Macaca mulatta: one gene and its partners. The protein of the gene in region 5 purifies or fractionates together with the protein of the main gene of each other region. This does not show direct contact. Links are inferred from orthologs where the notes say so. Each region holds a gene or a part of one and is shown on either strand. Other genes may lie near its edges.

Region 1 (3,500 bases), on a different chromosome or scaffold from region 5:
TGCTAGAAGGCAGTTATTGATGACTTTGCAAGAGCAAGGAGGGTGCAGTTAGGGATGGATCAATGCAGAGAAAATGAAGGCAGCAAGTAATTTGGCAATAAAATGTCAAGAAATGGGATATTATGCATAAAGAGCCACATGGGGGCAAGCCAAGGTCTGTTAGGATAGGAGGTGTACATATGTTAAAGAAAAAGAGGAAAAGCTAGTAAAACAGAAGAGGATGCTGGGAGAAGAAGAGGAGATGTCTGTAGAGGAAAACTAAGTGAGACAAAGATGTGAGAGAATGTGGAGCACTTGTTAGAATAGTTAGCCTGGAAGGGTTGCTCTTCTCAAATGGAAGGAAGGAGATGGAGACAGGCATAAGGATAATTTCAGCTAAGATGACTGGGCATGGAAGCTAAATGTAATTTTTGCGTATACTAATTGCATATCTGTTGAAGGGGCTCACAGCAGCCCTCATGTGTCGAGGTTTCCTCAGTGCCATTAAAAAAGTGTATGGGAGGCCAAGGTGGGTGGATCACCTGAAGTCGGGAGTTTGAGACCACCCTGACCAACATGGAAAAACCCCATCTCTACTAAAATACAAAATTAGCCAGGAGTGATGGCACATACCTGTAATCCCAGCTACTTGGAAGGCTGAGGCAGGAGAATTGCTTGAACCCGGGAGGTGGAGGTTGCAGTGAGCCGAGATTGTGCCATTGCACTCCAACCTGGGCAAAAAGAGCGAAACTCCATCTCAAAAAAAAAAAAAAAAAAAAGTGTATCTACTTTTACATTTTACATAAATCCAATAATTATCTTGTTCTTAATGACTAAAGTTAATTTTATGAATATGACTTTAACACGTTAGAGCATACTAAATTTCTTATCACCTGAAAACCCCTTCATTTTGCCATTTTTTCAAAGTAAAACATATTTTCATTTTGTGAACCTGGAGACTTATTTTGTGCCCAGGTCTAGCACATCTCACTGGCTGCATAAACTGTGGTGACTCCTCAGGCTTTCATACATGGAAAGCAAGCATGGTTATTTGTATTTAATTGTTATGTATAGGAAGAAGAGTGATAAACTGTGGGTTTATATCCATGTCAAAGTAAAATTCAACTAGTTTTATGTTTTCAAGTTGGGTATCTTTTAAAAAAATTATTGTTAACGTTTCAGTTGTTTATATAAGGTCTATGTTATAAGGCAGTGATTCCAGAAATTTTCAACAGATAAAATGTCCAATTCTGTTCTTCATGTGTTATTGTTCATTCTCTCTCAGGAAAAAGAGGAGCGGTACCTTATGTTATTTTCAAATGTCCTGATAATGTTATCTGCAAGTCCTCGGATGAGTGGCTTTATCTATCAGGTTAGTAGATTTCACATAAAACACATAGCAGACCCGCTAATGAAAACAGGTTTCCATCCAGATGCAGTATCTCCACTATGGCATTAAAAGCTCAAGCCAGGAGAACCAGAATGTTCTGACCCTTCATTGTAATTAAAGAGCTTGTAAGAGCAGATGTTCCTTAGATCAAAGACCTTTGTATTAGTATAATGAGTTTATCTTGAATATATCCACCGCTTTAGTTATGCACTAGGTTTTGCATGCATAAATGGAAACTAGATAAATTAGCAGCAGTATTGTACAGGCCCATGTCATTATTGCTGAGAAAACATAAAGCTGGGACCTGCTCCTATGTTTGTCTTATTATAGTCACAGCACATGATTCAGGCTTCTAAAGAAGCATGTTATTCCTTAGGAAATTAAACGTCCCTCAGTCAACTCCCAAGATATAGAGCATTATAAGTTACTATTGCCTGTTACATCTTGGCCTGACAATTAGTAGTTTTTATAACATCTGAGCCTTCACTTTTTTTTACTGATTCTTATGAAAATATATTAGAAAAGGAAACTGCTTTGTAAATCCTGATCTTATAGTTTAGGGTGTGTTAGCCAAACACAATCCACATTTTCCCCTTGCTTTCTTAGTCTGATTAAAATTTAGAACAGGGAATCATATTATCTGCTCTTGACATAGTGGAAAAATACGTCTAGCCATAATTTTGCAGTGCTGAGAGGGTCAGCAAATCTAAGTGAAATAAACAGAGACCTGTATGACTGCAGAATTAATGAGAATGTTCTTTTTCTAATAGGGAAAAATACCAATAGCAGGAACGGTGGTGACTAGATTAGATGAAATTGAAGGGAATGACTGCACATTTGAAATCACTGGTAGGTAATTTTCTCTTTTTCATGTAACTACTTCCAATTCTTTTTGGAATGAAGGGGAATTTAATAAATAAATGCCATTATTTTCAGTTACATAGGCCACGAGCAAATTTTACGCAGGCATGGCAAAGTATATTCCATTTCCTGGGATAATTAGGGTACAGCAATAGCACAGAGAAGTCTCCTCTCATTCAAAAGCCATGGCTTTGCCATTAGTTTCAATCTTCTGTTGCATAAGAGCTACTTGTGAGAGCTAAGGAATAACAAAATGGACTGATGTAAATGCAATTTTCTTCCCTTCTGTCATTTGTTCCCTGGTGGCAGAGGAGCCAAAGATATGGACTTTTATCAGCAATTTTATCATCAGCCCATGAGTTAGTAAGACTTGGTTGTATTTCTAAAAAGTTCTGAAAAGACATCAAACTTTCTTCACAAATTGAGCATAATGCCAGGCTTCAGTAATTCTCCCTGACATTTTAGCTTATGATCCCTTTTGCCAGGCCTGTGTCATTTATATGTAGTGGCTTCACTGTTGGTGCTGATATGGCACAGTGGCTAAGACTGGGATCATGGCCTTACCCTCTTCTTTCCCAAGAAGGAGCCTAAGGTTTAGTATTTGCCAAAAGGTTGTAAATAGTCTTAATTGGATCTTGTTCCAACATTGATACTGGGGGAACCAGTACAATATTCCCACTTTAGACTTAACTAGATGGACTATGTACTTACGTTTTTGGATTGCAAGTTTGTATATAGTGAAGTTTTACACTACTTTTAAGCTTCTGTAAGCAGTAAAAATCAAGGACAGTTTTCTAAATCAGACATGAATATTTATTTACTTTATCATCACAGGTTATCTGTTTCTGCTGTAGAAATTTCAACAGGGTTATCCCATAGGTATGAAAACCCCTGAAAATACACACCCAAGTCCTAGTTGCATGAAGTGTATTTATGAATGGGAGAAGCTCAAGTTTTTCCTTGCCTTCTGTTTTCAAATTGATCATAATTGGGGGATGTAGGTAACGTGGTGGAGAGAATTGTGGTCCATTGCAACAACAACCAGGACTTCCAGGAATGGTTAGAGCAGCTGAACAGACTGATCAGAGGACCTGCTTCTTGCAGTTCATTATCCAAAACCTCATCGTCATCATGCAGTGCTCATTCCGTAAGTAGTCCATGTGTTCTGTCCAGAGATTATTGAGTCTTTCATCAACTCCTGCCTGCTGGAGACTTATTTAGAAGAAGCAACAAGCACACCCTCAGCCTTTTGGGCAGCCTATATTTGTAG
Region 2 (3,500 bases), on a different chromosome or scaffold from region 5:
ATCATCTATTTTATTAGCTGGCCCCTGTTACAAATATCATAGTCTCTGTATACTTCACTGTTCTTGATATTATTTCAGAAGTATGTGCAATTTTATATCTGTTATCTAATTTTTGCTTTTGGTTACTGGATGATCCCCACTTTTTATATCAGGAGTCAGCACAATGTGGCCACCAGGACAGACTGGACTGCTGCCCAATTTGTAGTAAAGTTTTATTGGAACATAGCCGTGCCCATTCATATTGTCTCTGGCTGCTTTTGCACTATATTGGTAAAGTTAGGTCTTTTGCAAAAACTAAAATATTTATTACCTGGCCCTTTACAGAAAATGTTTCCTAGTCTCTGATTTATATCATAAAGCCTATTGAAATTTTTGTGTCCATTTTACAAATGCCATGTTTATTGACAAACAGAAATTGTTCATGAGAGTAGAGCAATGAAATGATTTTTTTCCATTTAATGGCATAATGAACATTTTTAAAATAGTGGGAAATAATTGTCTTATGACCTGTCTTTTGAAGACATACACTTCTTTAGTGCCAAAGAGTTTGCATGGTGGGGGGTGGGAGAAGTGGGTGAAATAACATATATATTCATGTTGTGGGGAGGGGGACCAGGAGGGAGGGATGAAGAGAGGAAGAAACAGAGACTAGCAGATTCCAATTATTATGACATTATGCGAGAAACTAAAAATTCATGTTGAATAATGTAATCTCTAAATGATTGATAATGTACCTATAATAGGAAATAAATAAGCAAATAAGCTTTCATGTGTGAGTCTGAATAGTGTGGCCTCAGTAGACTAAGAAGTATTCTTCCTCAGGTTGACCTGAAAACTGAACACCATATATTTCAACCCAAAAGATGAGGTGCTTATTACCCAGCCTTGGGTTTTTTTTTTTTAGACGGTGTCTTGCTCTGTCACCCAGGCTGGAGTACAGTGGCGCAATCTCGGCTCACTGCAACCTCCACCTCCCAAGTTCAAGCAATTCTCTGCCTCAGCCTCTGGAGTAGCTGGGATTACAGGCGCCCGCCACCATGCCTGGCTGATGTTTTTGTACTTTTAGTAGAGACGGGGTTTCACCATCTTGGCCAGGCTGGTCTTGAACTCCTGACCTCGTGATCCACCCGTCTCGGCCTCCCAAAGTGCTGGGATTACAGATGTGAGCCACTGCGCCCGGCCGGGATTTTTTAAGGTGTACAAATGAAGTGCCTATCACTCTTCAGAGTAACCCACTTTCAGAACCATGGTGCCTGACAATATGTTTTACTAAAATTGAGATGTGAATTTTTGTAAAGTTTCACTTGGATTAGCTAACATAAGGTTTTATGCATGAAAATACATAAAATGTACCTGAAAACATTTTTCTCCTACAATATTTTGACTTCTCAAGTCCATCAACAAGCAACAATATCCCACTCATGAGAGTAGTGCAGTCTGTCAAACACACGAAGAGGAAAAGCAGCACAGTCATGAAAGAAGGATGGATGGTCCACTACACCAGCAAGGACACGCTGGTAAGATCCACAGGGAACAATGTTCTCTTGCCTTGCTAGCTTTAATTAGAGGAGTTGCTAATGTCCTGTGAGGGCTGTGAGATGCCTTCATTACTCAGAGTAAACCTCAGCACAGGCATGACACAGGATTAGGTAAGGTGCATTACAGTCTCAGGGTGTCAGATGTAGTTGAGCAAGCAATGGAGTTAGGAAAAAATGTGGAAAGCAATTTCAGGCAAACAAATTCATTGACCTTGATTACCTGAGATGTCTACCTGCCATTTTATAGTACTTGTGGAAGCCACAGTATGTGCTTTCAGAACGTTCCACTGCAATTTAGAATTTTATAAGAAATACTGCATTCTAGGCAGAGAATAATACAGTGATAACTATCTTATACTTCCTAAGTCCTTAACTGAGTTTTCCCTGAAGAACCGACCCATTCAGGAACATTGGAAGCCTGTATCCTGAGTGTTCATGTCTCCAGATTTTCTTAATAGTTGATGAATGAAGTTGTGTGTGTACATAAGAGAGAACAACTTGATTCACGTTTCAAAGTTAAATTGACAATTGGCTGATTTATTTTACTGTATTGCTTTTCTCATCTCTTACCTAAAGGATCACTACAGATAAGCAGACACCTATAATCTAATTGATCTATCTATAATTTTGACCATCTCTGTTAGAGAGAGAAGACTTACCTGATATTATAGGGCTCAATTGAATACCTCCTAGTTCTTTTTAGACATGATGTAATATATTTAATATATTTGACTGGCCTGAAATTGGTTGTGGAGAAGAAGAGCAGAATAGAGCTTTGGGGTCTTTTATAAGATAAAAATACACACACAACCTAAAATCCTGAAAAATATACCTACAGTGAAGAAGGACCTGATCACCAAATCATAGTGGTTAGATTTCTAGTGAGCTGGAGAGAAGGTAGAGTTGGTTGTTTGATGCATTCCCCTGACTTTAAGTTGATGTCATGGAGTCAAACTTACTGTCCAGCAAAATATTCTTTACTTCTACTCTAACATTCAGAATTTGCCCATTGCCAATGGAAGTGAGAATACCTGTTTCCATCAGCATGGCATTTCTTATGTCCTAAAATAATAATAATAAACATTGCATCTCCTAGTAAACCTTATTTTATTATAAACTATACATCTGCCTTTAGCCCTTCATGCAGTGAAATAAGCTTAAAAATGATGTTTTCTGTTTACTATGCACTTTCTAAATGCCAGGCTCTTATTGGGTGCTAATACTTCATCTTCTTTATTACTCACAACCCTGTAACATAAATCCAGATACTTATCAGACATGTGGCTAAATAGCCTCCAGAGCCTGAAATTGAGCATGAGTCTGCCTTTTCCAAAGCCCATGCACTTTCCACTCTCAAATCTTATGTCCCCATTGGGGAAATCTTTTTGTTTTATTAATGGTGGATATTTTTGAAGTTTTTTAAAAAGGATCTTGGATCTAACTTGTGTTTCAGCGGAAACGGCACTATTGGAGATTGGATAGCAAATGTATTACCCTCTTTCAAAATGACACAGGAAGCAGGTACTACAAGGTAAGAGGGGGCTCTTTCTTTGGAGTTTCATACCTCTTACTGCTTTTTCTTGGGAATGTAGAGTGTAAGAAATAGGAAATACATCCAACAAACGTGACTATTTTTGTGCTTCCTCCAGGAGCTATTTTTTTTTTCTTTTCTACAGTCTACAAATTTCTTGGGATTCAGGTTGGGACCCCTTGATTCATCTGTGAATTTTACATTTCCCCAAGGAGTGCTTCTGGTACCATGGAATGATGGGAGAAGGAGGGAGGCAAAGATTAATGAATATTTTAGCAAAGATGTGTGATTTAACTAGAAAATTAATGGTCACAGCAGATAAGCTCAAAGTAAACTCCTGATATCCACTGCATCTAGCACACTGCCAGGAGGGAAGAAACATTGTATGATTTCTCCATGCTTGTCAGTATTCACAAAGAGCACTTTCCTCT
Region 3 (4,093 bases), on a different chromosome or scaffold from region 5:
CACCATGTTGGGGCCTGTCCAGTACAAGAAGAAGCCACTGGGGTCCACACGCAGGGTCACCAGGTTCCGACTGGAGGTCTCCTGGGGGCGGCACAGGGCAGCAGGGGTCAGGGAGTGAGGGCTGTGGTGCAGGCCTGGCCCCTGGGGCTCTCCCATCATGCACCCCAGAGTTCCTGCCCGTGAGCTAAGACAAAACCTCATCCAGTCCACAGGTCCTGTGTGGCTGCCTGTGGCCCTCAGAACAAAGCCAAGGTCCTAGGTGTGACATTCAGTGTCACACCTGGAAGGGCTCCCCAGCCCCCATCCTGGACTCCATTTCCCCAGAAGTGCTGAGAGCTCTGTGACGGTGACAGCCCCCCTAATTCACCCCACTACAGAATGTTTAAGGCATGAAAGTGAGAAGTCTGACTCCCACTGCCCTTCTGCATCCCTTGGGATACCACGATGACCCCTTGGTCTGCCTCAAAGTCCACTATTCACCTTACCACATCTGCCGGGGTCCTCACAGCTTCAAAGCTCATCCCATCTTACAGAAGAACAGTCCCCCTAGAAGGGGACTCGCCCTACTCTCAGGACAGGGCAGTGAGCTCTTCCTCCCTCAAACAGCCCTGCAGCTGGCAGGGGGCAGGGAAGTGCATGCCAGCACCATTTTCTGAGAAGGGCCCGGTCCCTGGCAAACTCCCAGGGCCACCCCGTGTGACTCAGGACCAGCAGCCAGAGGGACTGTTCTCCAGGGCTTAGACTCAGCCAGGGCCAGACTGACCAAGTGGCTACAGGTAGAACCCTCCTATTCCAGGCTCTTCCAGCCAGAAAAGGACCCCACCTCATGTTGGGCACCACCCCTAAACAGCTGCTCAGTGTCTGGTGGACAATACTGTCATTATCAATACATCTCATATACACACGTCGCCCCTACTGCACACCGGGTACAGTTCTATGCACCTAGCATCTTCGAGCACACAAAGGCCCCCTAACCAGCCTAAGAGATGTGCTGTTGTCACTCCCATTTCACAGATGAGGACACTTAGTTACAGGCACACTTCGTAGCCTGCCCGAGGTCATTGGAGCCAGGACTTGCTTGCAGGCAGTGTGGTTGCAGCGTCCTGTGACCTGGGAAGCAGGGATCGGAGACTCCCAGCTCCTGGCCTCAGCCCCACCCCATTGTGGGGCCTGGGATAAGTCTCTGCTCTCCAGACCTCAGTTTCCTTTTCTGGAGAATGGGGATTGCAGCAGCCCCACCCATGGCAGGTTTTGCTTACAAAGTATGGGTGTTCATCTGGGAACAGAAGGGACAGAAGGCCTCAAAACTTTGGGGATGCATAGGCCTCCCCACTTCAGTGTGCTGACACCCAGCCCCGAGCCCCTCTCGGGATTCCCAACCCTACATTGAGTCTGAGGCCCCCCAGTGGTGTGCGGAGGGGGGAGGGGAGTCTATGGGTCCTGCCCCTCGGGTTTCCCCCCAGCCTCTCCCCAGAGGTCTGGCTCTCGAAGACAGCCCAGGACCCCTGCTCTCCTGCCCCAAGCCTCTGTCCGCACCCCCCACCCCACCCCCAGGGCCCTCTCCCTGTTCCCACTTCCTTATTTGGGTTTATCACAGTGGAAAGAAAAGAAGAAACTTTTCCCTTCAGGCCAGCCTGGGGGGAGGGGTCTCCCCCAGCCTCTGGAGCACCCAGGCACCCCTCCTCACACACCTGCCGCTTCGGGCCACGCCCCCATCTCCTCCCCCCAGCTCCCACGCCTACCCCGGGGCCCCACCCAGCCGGAAAAGAGCCCAGAGTCTTCCAGGCCCGTGGCCTGACTGGGAAGGAGCCGAGAGGAAGCTCAGGCCGGCCGGGTGGAGGCCCTGGGGAAGGAGAGGCCCAGGGGGCAGAAGAGGGGACCCAGGATGGGGATGGGCAGCCAAAGGTGGGGACACGGGCATTTGGGAAGCACCAGGGGCAGGACAGGGAAAGGGGGGCCAGGATGTATTGGGGTTCAAGATCCCAAGCCTAAGGAGTGGGGAGCAAAGTTCCCAGAGGTGGAGGAACTTGGGGGTCAAAGTCTTCCCTAGGGGGTGACTGGGTGCTCCCACCTGAGCAGGGAGCTGAGCTGGGATCTAGAAGCAGGGCGAAGGGGTGCCAACCAGAATAGGGGGAAAAATGATGAATGGACGAGGACTGTTCAGGCAGGGCACCGGGGAGAGTAGGGACGCCCTGGCACACACCCAGAATGAGGATGCCCCAAGCCAGCCTGGAGGTCAGGGTCCTGCAGCCGGGGAGTCTAGTGCTGGGCAGGGGTCTGGGGACCAGGCCAGGATCGGGGAACCAGAATTAGTCTGGCAGGGAGTGGTGGGAAGGGCGAATGAAAACGGGGGAACGGGGTTTATTGGGGTTCAAAGTCTCTGCGCCAAGGAGTGGAGCCCAGTTTTCCAGAGCTGAGAGACTGGGAGTTGGGGGGACAAAGTCTTCATTACGGAGACGATCGGGGACTTAAGTTTCCGGGGCGCCGCCAGGCTGGGATGAGGGTGGCGCCACGGGCAGGCGAGGCTGGGGTAGGGGTCCCCAGCGACTGGTCGAGCTTGACAGAAAGAGTCCCGGGATCGGCGCGGAGCAGGGGCCCGCACGCTTACCTCGTCCCATTTGATGAACTTACTCCCGCGCCGCAGGGTCTCCACCACGGTAGGCGGCTCCAGCTGCAGCGCGTGGACGCCGGGCTGGGCGCCCGCCATGGCCGGGCCAGGGGCGGGTCGGGGACCCACGGAGCCCTGACGGGGACTGACGGCGCCGCTGCTCCCACCGCCCGGCCCGCTTCGGCCCCGCGGCGTCAGTACCCGCCAGCCAGTCTGTCCCGGACCCACCAGAGCCTCGGCGGGGCCCGGGCGGGGCGGGGACGGGGCGGGGCCTCCCGGGCCCCGCCCCCTCCCGCCGCGTCGGACCCGCCCGCCCCGCGTCGGCTCCCCCTGGCGGCTGGGGCGGCGACTGCAGCCGGAGCAAGGATTGGGGCAGGGGCACGCGAACCGGTCGGGGGCTTTGCCGCGGGGCTCAGCAGGACCTGATTCTTCAGACCTATGGAGGAAGGAGGGTGCTGGGGGCCGAAGTGGCTGTTGGGGAGCAGCTGGAGGAACTGGGTGTAGAGGGCGCTGCTTAAGGCGGTCCGGGATCAGCCCACTGAGGTTTCTGAGCGACGGGGGCTGCAATACCACTGGAGAGCTGGACTTGGGCCGGGGGTCGCCGCAGAGCCCTGTCGCCCACCCTCTTCTGCCGCACTTAGCTGAATGCAGGAAAAGCTTCTCCCGCCCCCCTCTGCCCTGGCTTCGCCTCACCCACTCTTCTGCTGCGCGGTCCCCCCTCCCTGGGAGCACTTAGCCGGCTAATGGGCCTCCCGCCGGCAGGCGCCCCTCCCCCGTCCCTGGCCCAGGGAGGCCGGGCGCCTGCCACCTCCTCTGAGGACCCAAGCATCCTGGTCTTCGAGAGTGGGCCCTAGAACAGCCCCCTTCTTGTTGCCGCAGACTCCCATGACTGGAGCCTGACTGTGAGCCTCTTGGCTGGGAACCGCGGGGGGGACGCTGTTGTCTGCCTAGAGGGGTCAGAAGCTTTGCGGGTGTCCCCAGACAGGAGGGTTGAGGAGGGGCTCTGCAGTGCCTGGCCCACAGCAGGTGCCCTGAAATCTGCGTTCCAGGGATGGGAGCGGGGAAGGCGCATGGGCAATGGGATGGGTGGGGGCTGCAGCCCCTCCCGCAGGGCTTGGCTGGTGGGGGGGGTTCCTGCCTGGGGGCCCCTGTGGGAGCCCCCCCAATACAGAGGCAGTAACAGCAGCAGGTTTAAAGTAGAACTCATCCAGAGGGGCCAGCCAAGTCACCTAGAAACCCAGAAAGAGATGCAGCTGGCTCTGGGGGAGGAGGGGTCAGCGGAGGAGGCGCTCCCCTGCAGGCCCCTTTGCCCCAGGCTCTGAGACCCCCACAAGGACCCCTGCCTGGCCCTGGCCTTCCTCCACACCCCACCAAGTTCTCCATCAAGTCTAACCTAGCAGATCTCCTAGCTCTCAGCCCTGGCCTTGTGGGGTGTGATTACGATCTCCACTTGAGGCCCAGAGAGGGGAAGGGACTTGCCCAAGG
Region 4 (4,013 bases), about 660 kb from region 5:
TTTTTTTTTTTTTTTGAGACGGAGTCTCCCTGTTGCCGGGGCTGGAGTGCAGTGTCGCGATGTCAGCTCACTGCAACCTCCGCCTCCCGGGTTCAACTGATCCTCCTGCCTTAGCCTCCCGAGTAGCTGGGATTACAGGCAGGTGCCACCATGCCCGGCTAATTTTTTGTATTTTTAGTAGACAGGGGCTTTCACCGAGCCAGGCTGGTCTCGAACTCCTGACCTTGTGATCCGCCCACCTTGGCCTCCCAAAGTGCTGGGATTACAGGCGTGAGCCACTGCGCCGACCACGCCCGGCCTAAATTCTAATATACGAATTATATGGATTGAATTCATGTTCGGGGCCACGTTGTTGTATGCATAGAGGTACAGCCTTAAATGTGAACAATTACTATAAACTATATTTTAAAACTTTTTTCTGACTTTATTACATAAATTTTCTTCCTTTTTTTTTTTGAGATGGAGTCTCGCTCAGTCACCAGGCTGGAGTGCAGTGGCGAGATCTCAACTCATTGCAACCTCCGCCTCCCGGGTTCACGCCATTCTCCTGCCACCGCATGCCGAGTAGCTAGGATTACAGGCGCCCGCCACCAAGCCCGGCTAATTTTTGTATTTTCAGTAGAGACGGGGTTTCACCCTGTTGGACAGGATGGTTTCGATCTCCTGACCTCGTGATCCGCTCGCCTGGACCTCCCAAAGTGCTGGGATTACAGACTTGAGCTACCAGGCCCTGCCCTTATTATATAAATTTTGTATTGGGTCAATGATTTAATCATATCATTTAATGAATCTGTTTATTCTTTTTTCCCCCCCAAATATTTGTCCTTCAGGGGTAGTTACCAGATGATCAATTTTCCTCGTATATTCGGTAGTCTTGTAATAAAAAGCATGTAGAGTGTAGACGTCTGCTGGTGTGGCTCCTCCTTCGACCGGTGCATGAGCTGGGGTCACGGTGTGGGTAGAGGCTAGGGTCTGGGTCAGGCGCTCACCCCGCTTTTGGGAAAGCGAGGCAGGTCGCCGCCGCAGTCCGTCAGCATTGGCGCCCAGATCACGCCGGTTCCGCTCCCGCCGGAAGCGGGCCTAGCCTCCTGCTTTTCCGGACCGGAACTTCCGCTTGTCGCGTGACGCCGGGGCGGGCGCTCTACCGGGGCGGACCTGTGGGCGGGACAGAACTCGGAGGACGCTATTAAAAGCCGGACGCTTCCGGTGGAACGGAGCTGTGGCGGGGCTTGCTGGGATCATGGCGGAGAATCACTGCGAGCTCCTGCCGCCGGCCCGGGGCGGCCTCGGGGCGGGGCTGGGTGGCGGCCTGTGCCGTCGCTGCAGCGCGGGGCTCGGCGCCCTTGCCCAGCGCCCCGGCAGCGTGTCCAAGTGGGTCCGGCTCAACGTCGGCGGCACCTACTTCCTCACCACTAGGCAGACGCTGTGCCGGGACCCGAAATCTTTCCTGTACCGCTTGTGCCAGGCCGACCCCGACCTGGACTCGGACAAGGTGAGGGCCGCGCGGGCCAGCCCGGAAGGTCCTGGCCATCCCGGCCTGCGGCTACCGCACACGTTCTGCTTCGTGCAGAGGAGACCTCAGCGGGAGCGGGCGACTCTCCTCGGGCTTCGAGCCCCGCGATCCCTTGTCACCAGCTCGTCCCCAGCTTCCCCCGACCCCCTACTCTGGGAGGGGAGGACGAGGATGGCGCCCTGGAGTCCACTGCTTTGGAGGATCCTGAGTCGCTTCACCCTGGGGTGTCTCTTCCTCGCCCTCTTTGCTTTTCGGTGGAGGAGGCTTCCCAGATCCTGGACTTTGCTGTGATTCTACTTTCTTTTTCTCAGTAGGTTCTTTTGCCCAGGGTGTGTGAACGCCTTCTCTTCTCTGTCCTAGGATACTTGCTGGCTCTGGAAACAGAACCCTTGCGTTGCTCTGTCCTTTCACATTCTGGACGTTTGAATTAACGCTGGCGCGGGGGTTGACATGGGCGGCCCTTTTTTTTCCCGGTGACTTGCATTTAGAGAGTTGGCTCTCCATCCTCTCCATCCACAGCACGTATCACCCACTCAGCACCTCTTAGAAGATGCGTCCGTAGTATATAGTATGACTTTTCGAAGGGAATTTTGCTCATGTTAAGGGTTGCTTTAGGGTTGTCCAGGAAGAGCCAGGTAGGGAATCTTTCAGTCTGCTTTCTGATTAGCTTAGTTTTCTCACTGTCTTCGCAAAAAGACAGGAATTTCCAGGTTAGTTTGCCGCTTGTCTTTCATCAAGCGAAATGCTCATGCTGTTGGGCAGATGGCAATAGAAACCTTTTATTACCTTTTTTAAGAGTTGTGAAGCCGAGGAAGAGTGTCTTGGGAGTTGTGCAGGATTGAAACTTAGAAAAAAAGCGTGTTTGAAGAAGATGTTGCCTGTTTCTTCAAGGCAGTTCACAAGCCTTACACTAACTTTGCTGGGTCTGTCAGTTGAGCTTACATGATTGCACTTGGCTTTGTGCCGTGGCAGCCAACATTTGCCATGCATGAGCCTTCCCAGAAAGGCTCGGATCCCTCTTCAAGTTTGAGAAGCCTGACTGAAACCATTCTCAGCATGGCATGACCATGATCAGGAAAAGAGAATCTGGAGTTACTGCTAAGGCCGCCTTGTGGGTAGAAATGAGGGTTTGAGATGCCAACACTCCTGACTCTCCCCACAACTTCCAACTGTTTCCATTGCTCATTTGACCAAGCCGTCTCCTCAGAGAATTGACTCCCAGGAAATGACAGTATAGGCTTTTGTTAGCTGTGATTTTCCTTTCATAAGGGTGGGTGTATGTTTTACTGTTTGGTTTTTCTTTTTAAATAGCAGGGCTTAGTGGTCACTCCCTTGCCTTTCTACTCAAGCGTTCCTGTTTTGTATGTGAAATTAGATTTTAAATTGCTCTTGTTCATTGGATTCTTTGAGGCAATGTCTATCTATTCAGCACTGGAGCACTTGATTGAGAGCTGATTAACTTTAGCACAGTTAAGGTGGTTCATCCCTTTATTTTACAGTTCCTTAAGATTTTGTTAAAAATTATGGGCTGGGCTCGGTGGCTCACGCCTGTAATCTCAACAGTTTGGGAGGCCGAGGCAGGTGGATCTCGTTGGAAACCAGCCTAGCCAATATGGTGACGTCCGGTCTCTAGTCAAAATACAAAAAATGAGTTGGGCGTGGTGGCAGGTGCCTGTAGTCCCAGCTACTCCGGAGGCTGAGGCAGAAGAATCGCTTGAACCCGGGAGGCCGAGGTTGCAGTGAGTCAAGATCACACCACTGCACTCCAGCTTGGACGATAGAGCAAGACTCTGTCTCAAAAAAAAAAAAAAAAAAAAAAAACAACTTTACTGTAGGAATCAATTCTTTGGGGAAGGGATAATTAATCTTTCCGAATATATCTATGTTATACTTGCTCTTTTCATCATCCTCCATTTAACCAGGTTTGATTTCCAAATGGTAAAACTGAAACTCAGAACATGAAGGTAAAGTAGCAGTACAGTCTGTCTCATAAAATAGTTGGAGTAGGGGCCGGGCATGGTGGCTCACACCTGTAATCCCAGCACTTTGGGAGGCCGAGGCGGGTGGATCACCAGAGATCAGGAGTTGCAGACCAGCCTGGCCAACATGGCGAAACCCTGCCTCTACTAAAAATACAAAAAAATTAGCTGGGATTGGTGGCGCGTGCCTGTAGTCCCAGCTACTCGGGAAGCTGAGGCAGGACTGTCGCTTGAACCGAGAGGTGGAGGTTGCATTGAGCTGAGGTTGCGCCACTGCACTCCAGTATGAGCAATAGAGTGAGACTGTCTCAAAAAATAATAATAAATAAACAATAATTGTAGTGAAGGTTAGTTTTAGTGATAGATAATTTGCCAGAAGTGTAGTGCTAATTCATATTAGTCCCAATACTAAAGTGTTTTTCGTCAAATGAGGAAATGTGTAAAATGCTTCATCTTAGTTTTTGTCTCCTGTGGCTCTGATGAAAGAATGTCCCAGGAGATTCCTCCTAATTAAATCCTGA
Region 5 (3,500 bases):
AGCACTTTGTGTCTCGTGGGCACCCCACCCTCTCACCTGGACAGGGCTGGTTCCGTTGGTCACGGGTGATGGCAGAGGACCTGTGGGGACAGCGTGTCAGTGGCTACTCGGCCACCACACCGCACCCACCCTGTGCCCCGGGCCGTGGCCCACCTTCCACATGCTCCTCGGTGGGTGTGACCCGAAGCCGCTTGAAGTGCTCATCTGTCTCGGGGTCCACCACCAGCAGCCGGGCCTCATCCTCCCGTGCCTTGATGCTGGCCACCACCTCAGCGTGGCGCAGCCCCTCCACATTCTGCCCGTTCACCTGCCGCCACCAGCACGCATCAGCCCCGCCGTGGGCCCAGACAGCCCCCAGTGCCGCGTGGCCAGGTGTGGCATCAAATATTCATCACAGCCACCGCCCGCCGAGGCAGCAGGAGGCGCACCAGCTCAGGTTCCCAGTGTCTCCCTCCTCCCTGCAAGGACCCAGGGCCCCAGTGTGGACAGGCATGGGGCCCCCAGCACCCTACAGCCCTGGTGGGCCGGTACCTCAATAAGCCGGTCCTGGGCGCGGAGGCCAGAGCGGGCAGCAGGTGAGCCCAGGTCCACCGAGCGGATGTACTGGCCGGGCCGGGACTTGTCACTATGCAGGTTGAACCCATAGCCCTGAGGTCCCTTTCGCAGGTGGCAGAGCCGAGGGCGCAGCTCCCTCAGGGGCCCACTGACATCCTGCAGGCCCAAGGGACAGGGTCAGTCCCTGGCTCCAGCCTCCCACCCCCAGAGGCCACTCCCTGGTGGTGCCGCTGCTGCCCAGACTCGGTACCATGCCACCCACGGGCAGGCCCAGGTCTCAGTGGCAAACACTCCGGGCACCCAGGCTGCCTGTGACAGAGCTTTCGTTGTGGGAACTTGGGCAAAGCCAGTTTTCAAACCCAGAAGCCTCCCCGATGGGCCCAGCCGCCTTCCTGGGTCGCTGGGATAATTCCCTGGGCTGGAGGCCAGCGCGGCACACGGGCGGGGTGGGAGAGAGCACCAGGTGGGAAGAACTGTCACTGTCGGCCTCCTGGGGCAGTTGTCCCTGAGGGCCCTGCCCGTGCGTCCCCCTGCCCCGGGCTCTCCTCCAGAGCGTGGGGCAGGCGCTCCTAGGCCAGCAGTTTTGTTTTCTCTCCAGAGGCCTCCGTGAGGCTGGCTGCGGTGGCGGCTCTGTTTGCTTTCACATTCCGGGAAAACGAGCCGCACCACCCCCGCGGGCCCAGCACGCAGAGGCTGGGGCAGGAGATTAGAGTGGACAGGGCACAGAGGGCCTCCTGGGGCCCGGAAGGACCCCCCCGCTACCATCCCAGGCCCTGCCCCATGTTACCTCTGGCATCCTGCAGTGGGGGTCTGGGCCAGGGGACCATGCAGGCAGGGCCAGGCCCAGTGACCAGCCCCCAGCCAGGGGCCAGGCCAGGGTGCCGCGGCGGTGGCCAGTGGCTGCCTGTGCTCAGTTAAACATGGCGGGGGCCGGAGCAGGCGGGGGGCAGGCTCAGGTTTCCAGGGAGTGCCAGGCTTGAGGGCGTGCGCAGGGGAGAGCGTGCAGGCGGGGTGGGGGGCTGCCAGGGCCCCTCCCTCACCTCCTACCTCCCTGTGTGTCCCTGAGGGACCACAGGCCAGGCCAGGGCTGGGGCGGCATGGCAAGAGGGGCACTCAGACCTCAGGAGGGCAGGTCTCCAGGCCTTAGACACCCCCAACCCCTCCAGCCACCCACCTTCGAGCTCACTCCAAACCCCAATGGACCAGAAACAGCCATGTCAGTGGCGGGGGCCGCCCTGCCAAGGGAGCAAGGGGGTCCTTCTCCACAGGGCTAGTGCCCTGTCCCCTGGGCTCGGGACCTGCCCTTGGTCTGGAATACCCTTCTCCTGTCCAGCCCGCCAGATGCCTCGTCAGGAGCCTCCTGCCCACCCTCTGAACCCTCTCTGCATGGCCACAACCCAGGCCCTATCACACCAGAAACTCCAGGGACAAGGCTGTGGCTCCTTGGCCCTGCAGGGGCTCAGCTGGGTCACATGGAATGAATTGGAGGGTGCAAGATCCCCAAAATCTCCAGGGCCCCACCACATAGACCCACCCCTCCCCCAGACACACCTGGTGGCACAGGCATGGGGCTTTGAGGCTGACCCTGACACCTGCCCACCGAGCTGCCCCTCAGGGATGCAGTCAGAGCACAGTGCTGAGGCTGGCCTGGGAGGGAGGGAAGATGTGGGGACAGGGGCCCATTCAGGAGGGGAGGTGGAGCACAGCCCCCAGGCTGGCCTGGGACTGAGGGAAGGCATGGGGACAGGAGCCTAGTTCAGGGGGGGAGGTGGGAGCATGACATGGGCCCAGGTGGTAAAGACACGTCACACGGTCACAGACACAAGACGTCCAAACACACCTGCAAACATGCATAGCCGCCCACACATGCGGCCAGCCCCACAGTGCTGGCCCGGCAGCCCTTCCCACGCCTGCACAGCGGCCTACAGGGCAGGGTTTCTCAGGGCACCAGACAGGAAGCAGGATCTGGTGGGTGTCTGGGGCCCTGAGGCCAGGCCAAGGCCCCCTCAGTGTTCTCAGGGTCACTCTGGCCACCCCTCTGCCTCTGTCCAGAAACAGCCGTCTTTCACTCTACACGGCGAGAAGTTCTGCCTATCATCAAACCCCTCATTGTCAGCAGGGTCTCGGAGGCGCCAGGCACAGCACTAAACCCTCAGGTGGAGGGGCCGCAATGGAGGGGCCAGGGTGGGCTGCTGGCAGCACATGGGGCGGAGCATGGGGGCCCAGAGAGCTGAGGAGCTCGGGCGGGGTTCATAGCTCACATTCCTCCTCCCTGCCCTGGCTCAGCACACACTTCCTGCCGCCTTCTGCCAGGCCCTCTGGCTCCCACGGGCTCTAGGCTCCCTCCCCGCCAGTGGCCAGCACAGAGCTGGACCATCCCTGGTCCCCCAGCCATGCCTGTGTCCGGACAAAGAGGCTAGCATGGGGGTACACTGGGCGCCCCCCCAGATGGTGACGCACCAGCCCTGGCAGAGAAAGGCCTTCATTGTTGCTCAGGGACCAGCCTGCTTACATCAAGTTCCCGGAGTCCCTTCCTCCCACCCCGGGAGGCTGAGCGGCTGCTGGTTCCTCCTAGCCCTCCCTTCCTCCCACCCCACCTGACCTGTACCAGCCCCTGGGGTGGGCTCCGTGGAGGGGCTCCTGGAGCCCGGGCAGGTGGCGTGGCACTCCCGGAGCGCGCCATGGCAGCGGTACAGCGGCAGTGAGTGGCAGGCGTCCGGCCGGGGTGGCCTGAACTCTCTGGCTGACCCAGGCTGCCACCCCACTTATCTACCTCCCTCTGCGGCCCCGGCTCCCCGGGGATGGGTGGAGACGCAGGGGCTGAGTCACTCTGGGGAGCAGGGTGATGACTGAGCCCACTCCCCTTAGAAGGCTCCAGCCCGGCGCCCCCCACCCAACTAGGTTTCCGTCCCAAGAAAGGAAGGAAGGAAGCTGCTGGAAGGCCC
Region 6 (4,088 bases), on a different chromosome or scaffold from region 5:
CTGGTGGTGCCTGGGGTCTGATGGCCTCTAATAAACTCTGTCCTGTATGCCCTTGGGTGCATCTCTGCTAGGGGAGAGGCCAGCACGGGCAGCACTCCTTTCCCCCGTTTTACCGATCACGGGAATCAAGACCTCTTTTTTCTTTTTTGAGACAGAGTCTTTCTCTGTCGCCCAGGCTGGAGTACAGTGGTGCAATCTCGGCTCACTGCAACCTCTGCCTCCCGCGTTCAAGCGATTCTCTTGCCTCAGCCTCCCGAGTAGCTGGGACTACAGGCGCACGCCACCACGCCCAGCTAATTTTTTTGTATTTTTAGTAGAGACGGGATTTCACCATGTTGACCAGGATGGTTTCGATCTCCTGATCTCGTGATCCGCCCGCATCGGCCTCCCAAAATGCTGGGATTACAGGTGTGAGCCACTGCGCCCGGCCTCAAGGCCTCCTTCTTGCATCATCAAACACCCTGCAGCATCTACCTAAAGGCAGTTGGGGCTGGGCCGCAGCACCCGGCTGAGTCACGCCAGCCCGGCCCTCCCGGAGCTCTGCGTCCCCGATCTGGTCCTGCATAATCAAATACAGTATAACAAAGTGCAGATAACCGGGACAATGGGGCTGTGTGCTCCGGACCGTGGGAGCCCGGGGCCGCCGCAGAGAGGCGGAGGGAGGAAGCCACAGGGCAGGGCAGGGCCGGGCTTTGCAGGGGGCAGCGCTGTCCCAGGGTGAGGGGTACGGGGGCGGGATTGCAAAACCCTAGCTTGCGCCCGATGATCAGCTGGGGCCGCAGGCGTGGGCCTCGCACAGGAGGCCGCGGCGCGCTGTAGCTGCGAGCTGGGAAAGCCGAGGATGGGCGGGGGTCCGGGCGGTGGGAGCCAAGTCGGATCAGGGAGTGGCTTGTAACTCGGCGGCCCATTGGACACGAAGAAGAGAGCGGGGTGGGGCTGGGAGGGTTGGGGGTCCGGAGAAGGGGCGCGGACCCAAGACCACCTGGAGCTCCGCCCGGGCTGCGCGGAGTCGCGGCGGGAATTTTGGGGTCGCCGGGTGACTCAGCCCCGCAGGCTCGAAACTGCGGGCGCGTGAGGTGTGCAGGGACCGGGGTGGGGGTCCCGCGCCGGAAATAGAGGCGACCGAGGGGCCGCGAGGCGGGGAGGAAATAGGGGGGCTGCGGTTCCGGGCGACACCGCCCCCGACGCGGCCGCGGAGGCGGGGCTCCCCCAGGTGGCGGGGCGGGACTCCCCCAGGTGGCAGGGGCGGGGCGCCGGGGAGACCCCGCCTCCCGCGCCCTCTCAGCAGCCCACGCAGGGCGCACCCGGACGCTCCACCGCTCCCGCCGCGGTCGCCGGGCCATGGGCCTCGAGCCCGCCCCGAACCCCCGCGAGCCCGCCTTATCTGCGGCGTGACGGGAGGCCCAGGTGAGGCCGGCACGGACGGGAGGCGGGCGGGTGCGGGCCTGGGCCCGGGGGAAGGGCGCGGCACGTGCCTGCGGGGCCAGGACGCAGCCCCCTGATCCCTTAACCCCCTACCCCTTCCCCAGTCTGGAGACGCCTGGAGGCCCGGCCAGCTGTCCCTTCCCCAACCGCTGTCTTTGTCCCGGAGACCGCCAGTGTCCTCCGTCCCACCCGGAACAGCCTATTGCCCCGCCCGCTTGGGAAGCACTCGCGCCCAAATCCGGCAGACCAACTTCTGGGACCGACTCTCTGTCCACTCTGATCACCTCCACGCCTCGGCAACGCTCCCTCGCAGGGTCCTAGCAAGTGACCTCACTCTTGTGGGCACATGCTCCCGGGTCTCTGCTCCCCACACTGACTCCAGCACCTAAGTGACCCTCCCTCATCTCGTCCCGCAGCTCACACCCCTTTGTCTTGCCTCTCCCTACAGCCCAAACCGGGTCACACATTGGCGGCAGGTGGGCTGGGATTCGACCATACATGGGTTTTGTTTCACTTCTTCTGGTTCAAAACCCTGTTGACTTGGGTTATGTCTTGACACAGGTCTTATTAGTAGGTAAGAAACAGCAGCTCCTCCACCCCCACCCCAGCCCCATGGAGCTTGCTTTTTCCAGGCTACCGTGGTCCTCACCACTGCCACTTTGCTCTGAGGCATCTGAATTCAAGACCCTTGTCCTTCCTTGTCCTCTGTAGCTGCCGCCCCTCCCTGTGTCCTTCCAAGAAGCGCCACATGCACTGATCTCTTGTGTCCCCAGATGGTCACCATGGGCCATTGCTACTACAACGAGACCATTGGCTTCTTCTATAACAACAGTGGCAAGGAGCTCAGCTCTCACTGGCGGCCCAAGGATGTGGTCGTGGTGGCACTGGGGCTGACCGTCAGCGTACTGGTGCTGCTCACCAATCTCCTGGTCATAGCAGCCATCGCCTCCAACCGCCGCTTCCACCAGCCCATCTACTACCTGCTAGGCAACCTGGCCGCAGCTGACCTCTTCGCGGGGGTGGCCTACCTCTTCCTCATGTTCCACACTGGTCCCCGCACAGCCCGACTTTCACTTGAGGGCTGGTTCCTGCGGCAGGGCTTGCTGGACACAAGCCTCACTGCGTCGGTGGCCACACTGCTGGCCATCGCTGTGGAGCGGCACCGCAGTGTGATGGCCGTGCAGCTGCACAGCCGCCTGCCCCGTGGCCGCGTGGTCATGCTCATTGTGGGCGTGTGGGTGGCTGCCCTGGGCCTGGGGCTGCTGCCCGCCCACTCCTGGCACTGCCTCTGTGCCCTGGACCGCTGCTCGCGCATGGCACCCCTGCTCAGCCGCTCCTATTTGGCTGTCTGGGCTCTGTCGAGCCTGCTTGTCTTTCTTCTCATGGTGGCTGTCTACACCCGCATTTTCTTCTACGTGCGGCGGAGAGTGCAGCGCATGGCAGAGCACGTCAGTTGCCACCCGCGCTACCGAGAGACCACGCTCAGCCTGGTCAAGACTGTCGTCATCATCCTGGGTGAGTGGGGCCCTCAGGCACCCTGCTTCCCCCTGTTTCCCACAAGACGCTTCGAAGCAATTAACAAAACAAGCTACCTGATAGAGGGTGATAGGGGGAAGACTTAGGTGGGGAATGTTCTCCAGGGAGGTCATATATGAGCAGAGGCCTGAATGCTGAGGATAGGAACAGAGAGAGTTCCAGGCAGAGGAAACAAAGTAAAAACCTAAAGGCAGTACCAGGCCAGAGCCTCTAAAGAGGAAAGCGGGCTTGTGAGGAGGAGAGTTCGGCAAGGCCTTAAGGGGCACAGACAGGAGTCATATTTTGAGTTTCGTGGGAAGCCCTTGAGAGTTTTTAGCAGTGCTGGCCGGGTGCAGTGGCTCACGCCTGTAATCCCAGCACTTTGGGAGGCTGAGGCGGGCGGATCAACTGAGGTTGGGAGTTGGCAACCAGCTTGACCAACATGGAGAAATCCCGTCTCTACTAAAAATACAAAATTAGCCAGGTGAGGTGGAGTTTTTTGAAACTCCATCTCAAAAAAAAAAAAGTTTTTAGCAGTGCTAAGCCTGGTTTAACAAAAAGCCTTTAAATTATTTTTTAATCTATATGTATTTTTAAATTATTATTATTATTATTATTATTATTATTATTATTTTGAGACTGAGTCTCGCTCTGTCACCCAGGCTGGAGTGCAGTGGCGCAATCTCGGCTCACTGCAACCTCTGCCTCCCAGGTTCAAGTGATTCTCCTGCTTCAGCCTCCTGAGTAGCTGGGACTACAGGTGCATGCCACTACGCCTGGCTAATTTTTGTATTTTTGGTAGAGATGGGGTTTCACCATGTTGGCCAGGATGGTCTCGATCTCTTGACCTTGTGATCCACCCGCCTTGGCCTCCCAAAGTGCTGGTATTACAAGCATGAGCCACCGCACCCGGCCCATACTTTTAAATTTCGAAATTTTTTTTTTTTTAGAGACAGGGTCTTACTCTTGCCCAGGCTGGACTATAGTGGCTCCATTGTAGCTCACTGCAGCCTCGACCTTCAGGGCTCAGGCAATCCTCCCGCCTCAGCTTCCTGAGTAACTGGGACTACAGGCATGTGCCACCACACCTGGCTAATTTTTTATTTTTTGTAGAGATGAGGTCTCACTATATTGCCCAGGCTGGTCTG
Region 7 (3,500 bases), on a different chromosome or scaffold from region 5:
TCATCCTTCTCTGCTAATCAAAATTTGCTGATAGAAATTAGCTGGAGTCAGTTTACCTGCCCTTAATCTGTCTGGAGTCACAAAGAAAGAGACAAAACTGAGATAGGGAAATCTTGAAATAAATAAGCACTGGGCTGGGCCTGGAGCAGGAGGATGAGTGGACTCAGCACAGAAGTGTGGTTGCCTTGCAGGTTGTGTGTCGCAGCCCTGTCGGTGAATAACTTCTGTGACAACCGCGAAGCCCTCTACGGTGTGTTTGATGGAGACCGGAATGTGGAGGTGCCCTACCTTCTCCAGTGCACCATGAGTGACATTTTGGCTGAAGAGCTGCAAAAAACAAAAAATGAAGAAGAATACATGGTCAATACATTCATTGTCATGCAAAGGTAAAACTCAGAGTTCCTGCTTACCTGCTGTATGTTTTTTTGCTCTTTGAGTGTTTATCCTCTGTGTTTTGACTATGAGTACCAAGATGCATTCAGGCAAGTTTGGTGTTGCCCAGGCATCAGGAATGGTGCTCCAGTTTGAGACATACTGATGTTCATATAACTTTGTGGAAGGCTCCGACAATGACAAGGAATTAGTTTCTCTGAGAACTGGACCTTACTGGCCTTTATTGATTGCAGATTTTCATCAGATTGTTTGCAATGCCATTTTTCCTCCCAAATCATGTGAGCTCTGGAGGCTTTTTAGACTTTCTGGTGTGGGGACCTCTCTTTGAAATGGACCGTTTCTATCCTAGTTTCTTGGCCCTTATGAAATACTATCACTGGTTTGAGGTAGTGCAAGCCTTTGTTAAATCAAGATGGTCAGATTTTAGCTCAGGAGTTAAATCATTCTTTATATTTTGTTTTCCCCTTTATTAAATGTTCAAGACAGTGTTACTGGCAGAATCCTAGGCCATAGCCTGGAGTTTCCACCAGCAGCAGAGTTTTAGGTTGCTATAGAAATTGTGGTATATTGTTTGTAACTCTTAGATGAGTGAGGATTCCCTCATTCAAAGAATTGTTCATTCTTATCACCTTCATGGCTTTCTAGGTGATAATGGAATTGCCTGTCTATAAATATTGTACTGCAGACTCGCTCATGTGGGACCCAGGAGTGATCAGCGTACTGGTACTTGAGGTCATGATAGCAGTCATGGTCTTTTGTCCTTATCTGTTCTTTCTCTCCCTTGATACTCTGCCAGAGCAAGTAGCTTTGTTAAGGGGGTAGAAGAAGTGTCTGGGGAGGAGTGTTCAGAGCAGCATTTACAGTGATACCTGCGTCTCAAATGGTTCCTCTCAGAGAGCTTGGTGGAGGCAAGCCTGGGGTGGTTCTTGCTGCTACAGTCACCTCTGACTTTCAGATTCTCAGTGAGCATGTACAATTAGCAATTGAACAATAATGACTAATATCCAGCAAGCCCTTAATATGTACCAGTCATTGTTCTAAATTTTACCTTATGTGTCATAAATTGTTACCAGTTAGCGGAGTAATGTTACTGAAAGTCATGTACAGAGAGGTGAAGCACAGTGCCTACGGGCTAGTAGGTAGTGCAGCCAAGACCTGACCTCGGGTTGTAAGACTCCAGAGGATGTTCTAACTAGCAGGCACATCAGCTTTCCTGGTTTTACCACCCTTTTGTTCTAGAAAAACATCTAGCATGTATCATATGCACACACATACACATGTGCACACAGACCAAAGCACAAACACATCCCTTCACAACCCCCAAGAGGTCTGCTTTTTATGCACCCTCAAGCACTGGTAAGAATTAAACACTGAGAACCCCAATCTCAGATTACTTGCCATACTTTTTACGAATCACTGTGCCTAGGAAAGGGAGAAAATGGAGCTGCCTTGGAAAGGTCTAGAGCCAAATACCTGAAAGTTGGAGTTTAGGAGCCTAAACTGTCGGCCCTTCTCCAGGGTCTTTTGTGTTTCTCTTATTTTCCCTATCTGTTAAGAGGGTATGGGTTGTGTGGTGAGCTTTGGGTCCTTAGGGGAACTGGTCTTTGTGCAGGATTTCCTAATGCATGCAAGTAGGCAGCCCTGGTTTCCATTGCTCCTCTTGCCAGTTGCTTACCTTACACATGTGATAGTAGCAGACAGTACCTTAGGGTCTGGCCTTGTAAAACAGGAGGCTGTTTTTCTTAACTTTCTTGCTCCTGTGCCACTCAGGAACAGCAGGGGCCTGGGCGGTGTTACCATTTGTGGGGCTTGCCATAGGAGTTCATGAGGCCATGGGAGCAATAATGGTCTTTTGTCCCTCTCTGCCGTTTCTCTCCCTTGATAATCTGCCAGAACAAGTAGCTTTGTAAGAGGGGTTTTTGATTTTTGATTTTCAGAATTTGCAGGTGCTTCCTATATTTGATAAGTCTGTGGATTAATTGTCATGATTAAAAAGATAAATCACAAGCACTTGGTATTCGATTACTAGAATGTCCTTTCTATGAGTTTTCTAGAATAGAGGGTACTGGGCCAGAAAGTTTTTACTATATAGGGCAGGAGCATGAACACTCCAATACTTAAAGGCTCCTACCAGCAAACATCCTTAGAAGGGGGAGAGGGTTGTCAGGTTTTTCTGACGTGTGCCTGCCAGTGAGGTAGGGTGTTTATACCTGCTCTTATGTGCATGGTTGTTTCAATGTTCCTCTCCTGTGGACAGAGGGAATTTAGAGAAGCAGAGAGAGAGAGAAGTCATTTTCCTGCTGTCTTTGGAGTGTGCTGATAGGGCAGCGTGGTTGACGAGGGTAACAGGCTGTATACAGCAGCCCAGGGGCATCTGCCTTCCAGAGCAGCACCTGTGGCTTTTAGTGGTACAGTGATACTGTCTCCCAGTTGTGAGCCTCTCTGTGTGGATGTGTGTGGCGTCGGATTCCGGGGCTCTTTTCATCAAAGAGGCGGAGCAGTGTGTGCTTTGATGAAGGAAGCGGAGTGGAATCCCCAGAGGTCTCCTTCCTGGCCCTGTCCAGTGGTGCAGTCTTCGTGTTGAATTTGCAGAACTGGCACTGATGGACTGTGTTTGAGTGTCACCCCCTCTCTTCGGATTCCAGGAAACTTGGAACTGCTGGGCAGAAGCTTGGTGGTGCCGCTGTCCTTTGTCATATCAAGCATGACCCTGTGGACCCAGGAGGATCCTTCACCTTGACCTCTGCTAATGTGGGCAAGTGCCAAACAGTTCTCTGTCGAAATGGAAAGCCACTGCCTCTGTCCAGATCTTACATCATGAGCTGTGAAGAAGAGCTGAAGAGGATTAAACAGCACAAGGCCATTATCACTGAGGTGAGAAAAGAGGGCTTTTCCCCAGGATGGTGGAGAGGAGAGGAGACCAGATCATAGCAGAAACTAGCTAGGGAGCATTTGCCTTCAAAGAACACTTTTTGAAGTCGGTTCGACATTAGAATTCCAAACCCATAGTATCACAAAGCAAATGTCTTACATTATGACGTATGCTTGTCAGTTGCCTCTCTGCATCAGGCACTGTGCTGCGTGCTTCGTGGGCACGATCCCATTCC

What was found.
Region 1: the proteins of NHERF2 (region 5) and ARHGEF6 purify together in Homo sapiens (affinity purification with mass spectrometry; 3 studies listed by BioGRID and IntAct, with this or other methods). This does not show direct contact. The link is inferred for Macaca mulatta from reciprocal best matches to the Homo sapiens genes NHERF2 and ARHGEF6.
Region 2: the proteins of NHERF2 (region 5) and PRKD1 purify together in Homo sapiens (affinity purification with mass spectrometry; 3 studies listed by BioGRID and IntAct, with this or other methods). This does not show direct contact. The link is inferred for Macaca mulatta from reciprocal best matches to the Homo sapiens genes NHERF2 and PRKD1.
Region 3: the proteins of NHERF2 (region 5) and PLCB3 purify together in Homo sapiens (co-immunoprecipitation; 3 studies listed by BioGRID and IntAct, with this or other methods). This does not show direct contact. The link is inferred for Macaca mulatta from reciprocal best matches to the Homo sapiens genes NHERF2 and PLCB3.
Region 4: the proteins of NHERF2 (region 5) and KCTD5 purify together in Homo sapiens (affinity purification with mass spectrometry; 3 studies listed by BioGRID and IntAct, with this or other methods). This does not show direct contact. The link is inferred for Macaca mulatta from reciprocal best matches to the Homo sapiens genes NHERF2 and KCTD5.
Region 6: the proteins of NHERF2 (region 5) and LPAR2 purify together in Homo sapiens (affinity purification with western blotting; 3 studies listed by BioGRID and IntAct, with this or other methods). This does not show direct contact. The link is inferred for Macaca mulatta from reciprocal best matches to the Homo sapiens genes NHERF2 and LPAR2.
Region 7: the proteins of NHERF2 (region 5) and PHLPP1 purify together in Homo sapiens (affinity purification with mass spectrometry; 3 studies listed by BioGRID and IntAct, with this or other methods). This does not show direct contact. The link is inferred for Macaca mulatta from reciprocal best matches to the Homo sapiens genes NHERF2 and PHLPP1.

What each region holds. Positions count from the first base shown.
Region 1 is NC_133426.1:143,016,716-143,020,215, reverse strand, and holds part of ARHGEF6 (rho guanine nucleotide exchange factor 6), read left to right. Parts: intron 1-1,264; coding exon 1,265-1,351; intron 1,352-2,139; coding exon 2,140-2,218; intron 2,219-3,231; coding exon 3,232-3,377; intron 3,378-3,500. UniProt on the Homo sapiens protein: Acts as a RAC1 guanine nucleotide exchange factor (GEF).
Region 2 is NC_133412.1:102,740,786-102,744,285, reverse strand, and holds part of PRKD1 (serine/threonine-protein kinase D1), read left to right. Parts: intron 1-1,393; coding exon 1,394-1,517; intron 1,518-2,991; coding exon 2,992-3,069; intron 3,070-3,500.
Region 3 is NC_133419.1:10,147,053-10,151,145, forward strand, and holds the start of PLCB3 (1-phosphatidylinositol 4,5-bisphosphate phosphodiesterase beta-3), read right to left. Parts: upstream 2,801-4,093; 5' UTR 2,708-2,800; coding exon 2,609-2,707; intron 82-2,608; coding exon 1-81. UniProt on the Homo sapiens protein: Catalyzes the production of the second messenger molecules diacylglycerol (DAG) and inositol 1,4,5-trisphosphate (IP3).
Region 4 is NC_133425.1:3,916,805-3,920,817, forward strand, and holds the start of KCTD5 (BTB/POZ domain-containing protein KCTD5), read left to right. Parts: upstream 1-1,213; 5' UTR 1,214-1,240; coding exon 1,241-1,492; exon of another isoform or gene 1,493-3,543; intron 3,544-4,013. UniProt on the Homo sapiens protein: Its interaction with CUL3 suggests that it may act as a substrate adapter in some E3 ligase complex. Does not affect the function of Kv channel Kv2.1/KCNB1, Kv1.2/KCNA2, Kv4.2/KCND2 and Kv3.4/KCNC4.
Region 5 is NC_133425.1:3,260,971-3,264,470, reverse strand, and holds part of NHERF2 (Na(+)/H(+) exchange regulatory cofactor NHE-RF2), read right to left. Parts: intron 3,297-3,500; exon of another isoform or gene 3,239-3,296; coding exon of another isoform or gene 3,158-3,238; intron 712-3,157; coding exon 532-711; intron 308-531; coding exon 108-307; intron 81-107; coding exon of another isoform or gene 6-80; intron 1-5.
Region 6 is NC_133424.1:20,223,593-20,227,680, reverse strand, and holds the start of LPAR2 (lysophosphatidic acid receptor 2), read left to right. Parts: upstream 1-1,288; 5' UTR 1,289-1,407; intron 1,408-1,529; exon of another isoform or gene 1,530-1,763; intron 1,764-2,136; exon of another isoform or gene 2,137-2,198; coding exon 2,199-2,940; coding exon of another isoform or gene 2,941-2,974; intron 2,975-4,088. UniProt on the Homo sapiens protein: Receptor for lysophosphatidic acid (LPA), a mediator of diverse cellular activities. Seems to be coupled to the G(i)/G(o), G(12)/G(13), and G(q) families of heteromeric G proteins. Plays a key role in phospholipase C-beta (PLC-beta) signaling pathway.
Region 7 is NC_133423.1:17,915,867-17,919,366, reverse strand, and holds part of PHLPP1 (PH domain leucine-rich repeat-containing protein phosphatase 1), read left to right. Parts: intron 1-191; coding exon 192-386; intron 387-3,038; coding exon 3,039-3,267; intron 3,268-3,500. UniProt on the Homo sapiens protein: Protein phosphatase involved in regulation of Akt and PKC signaling.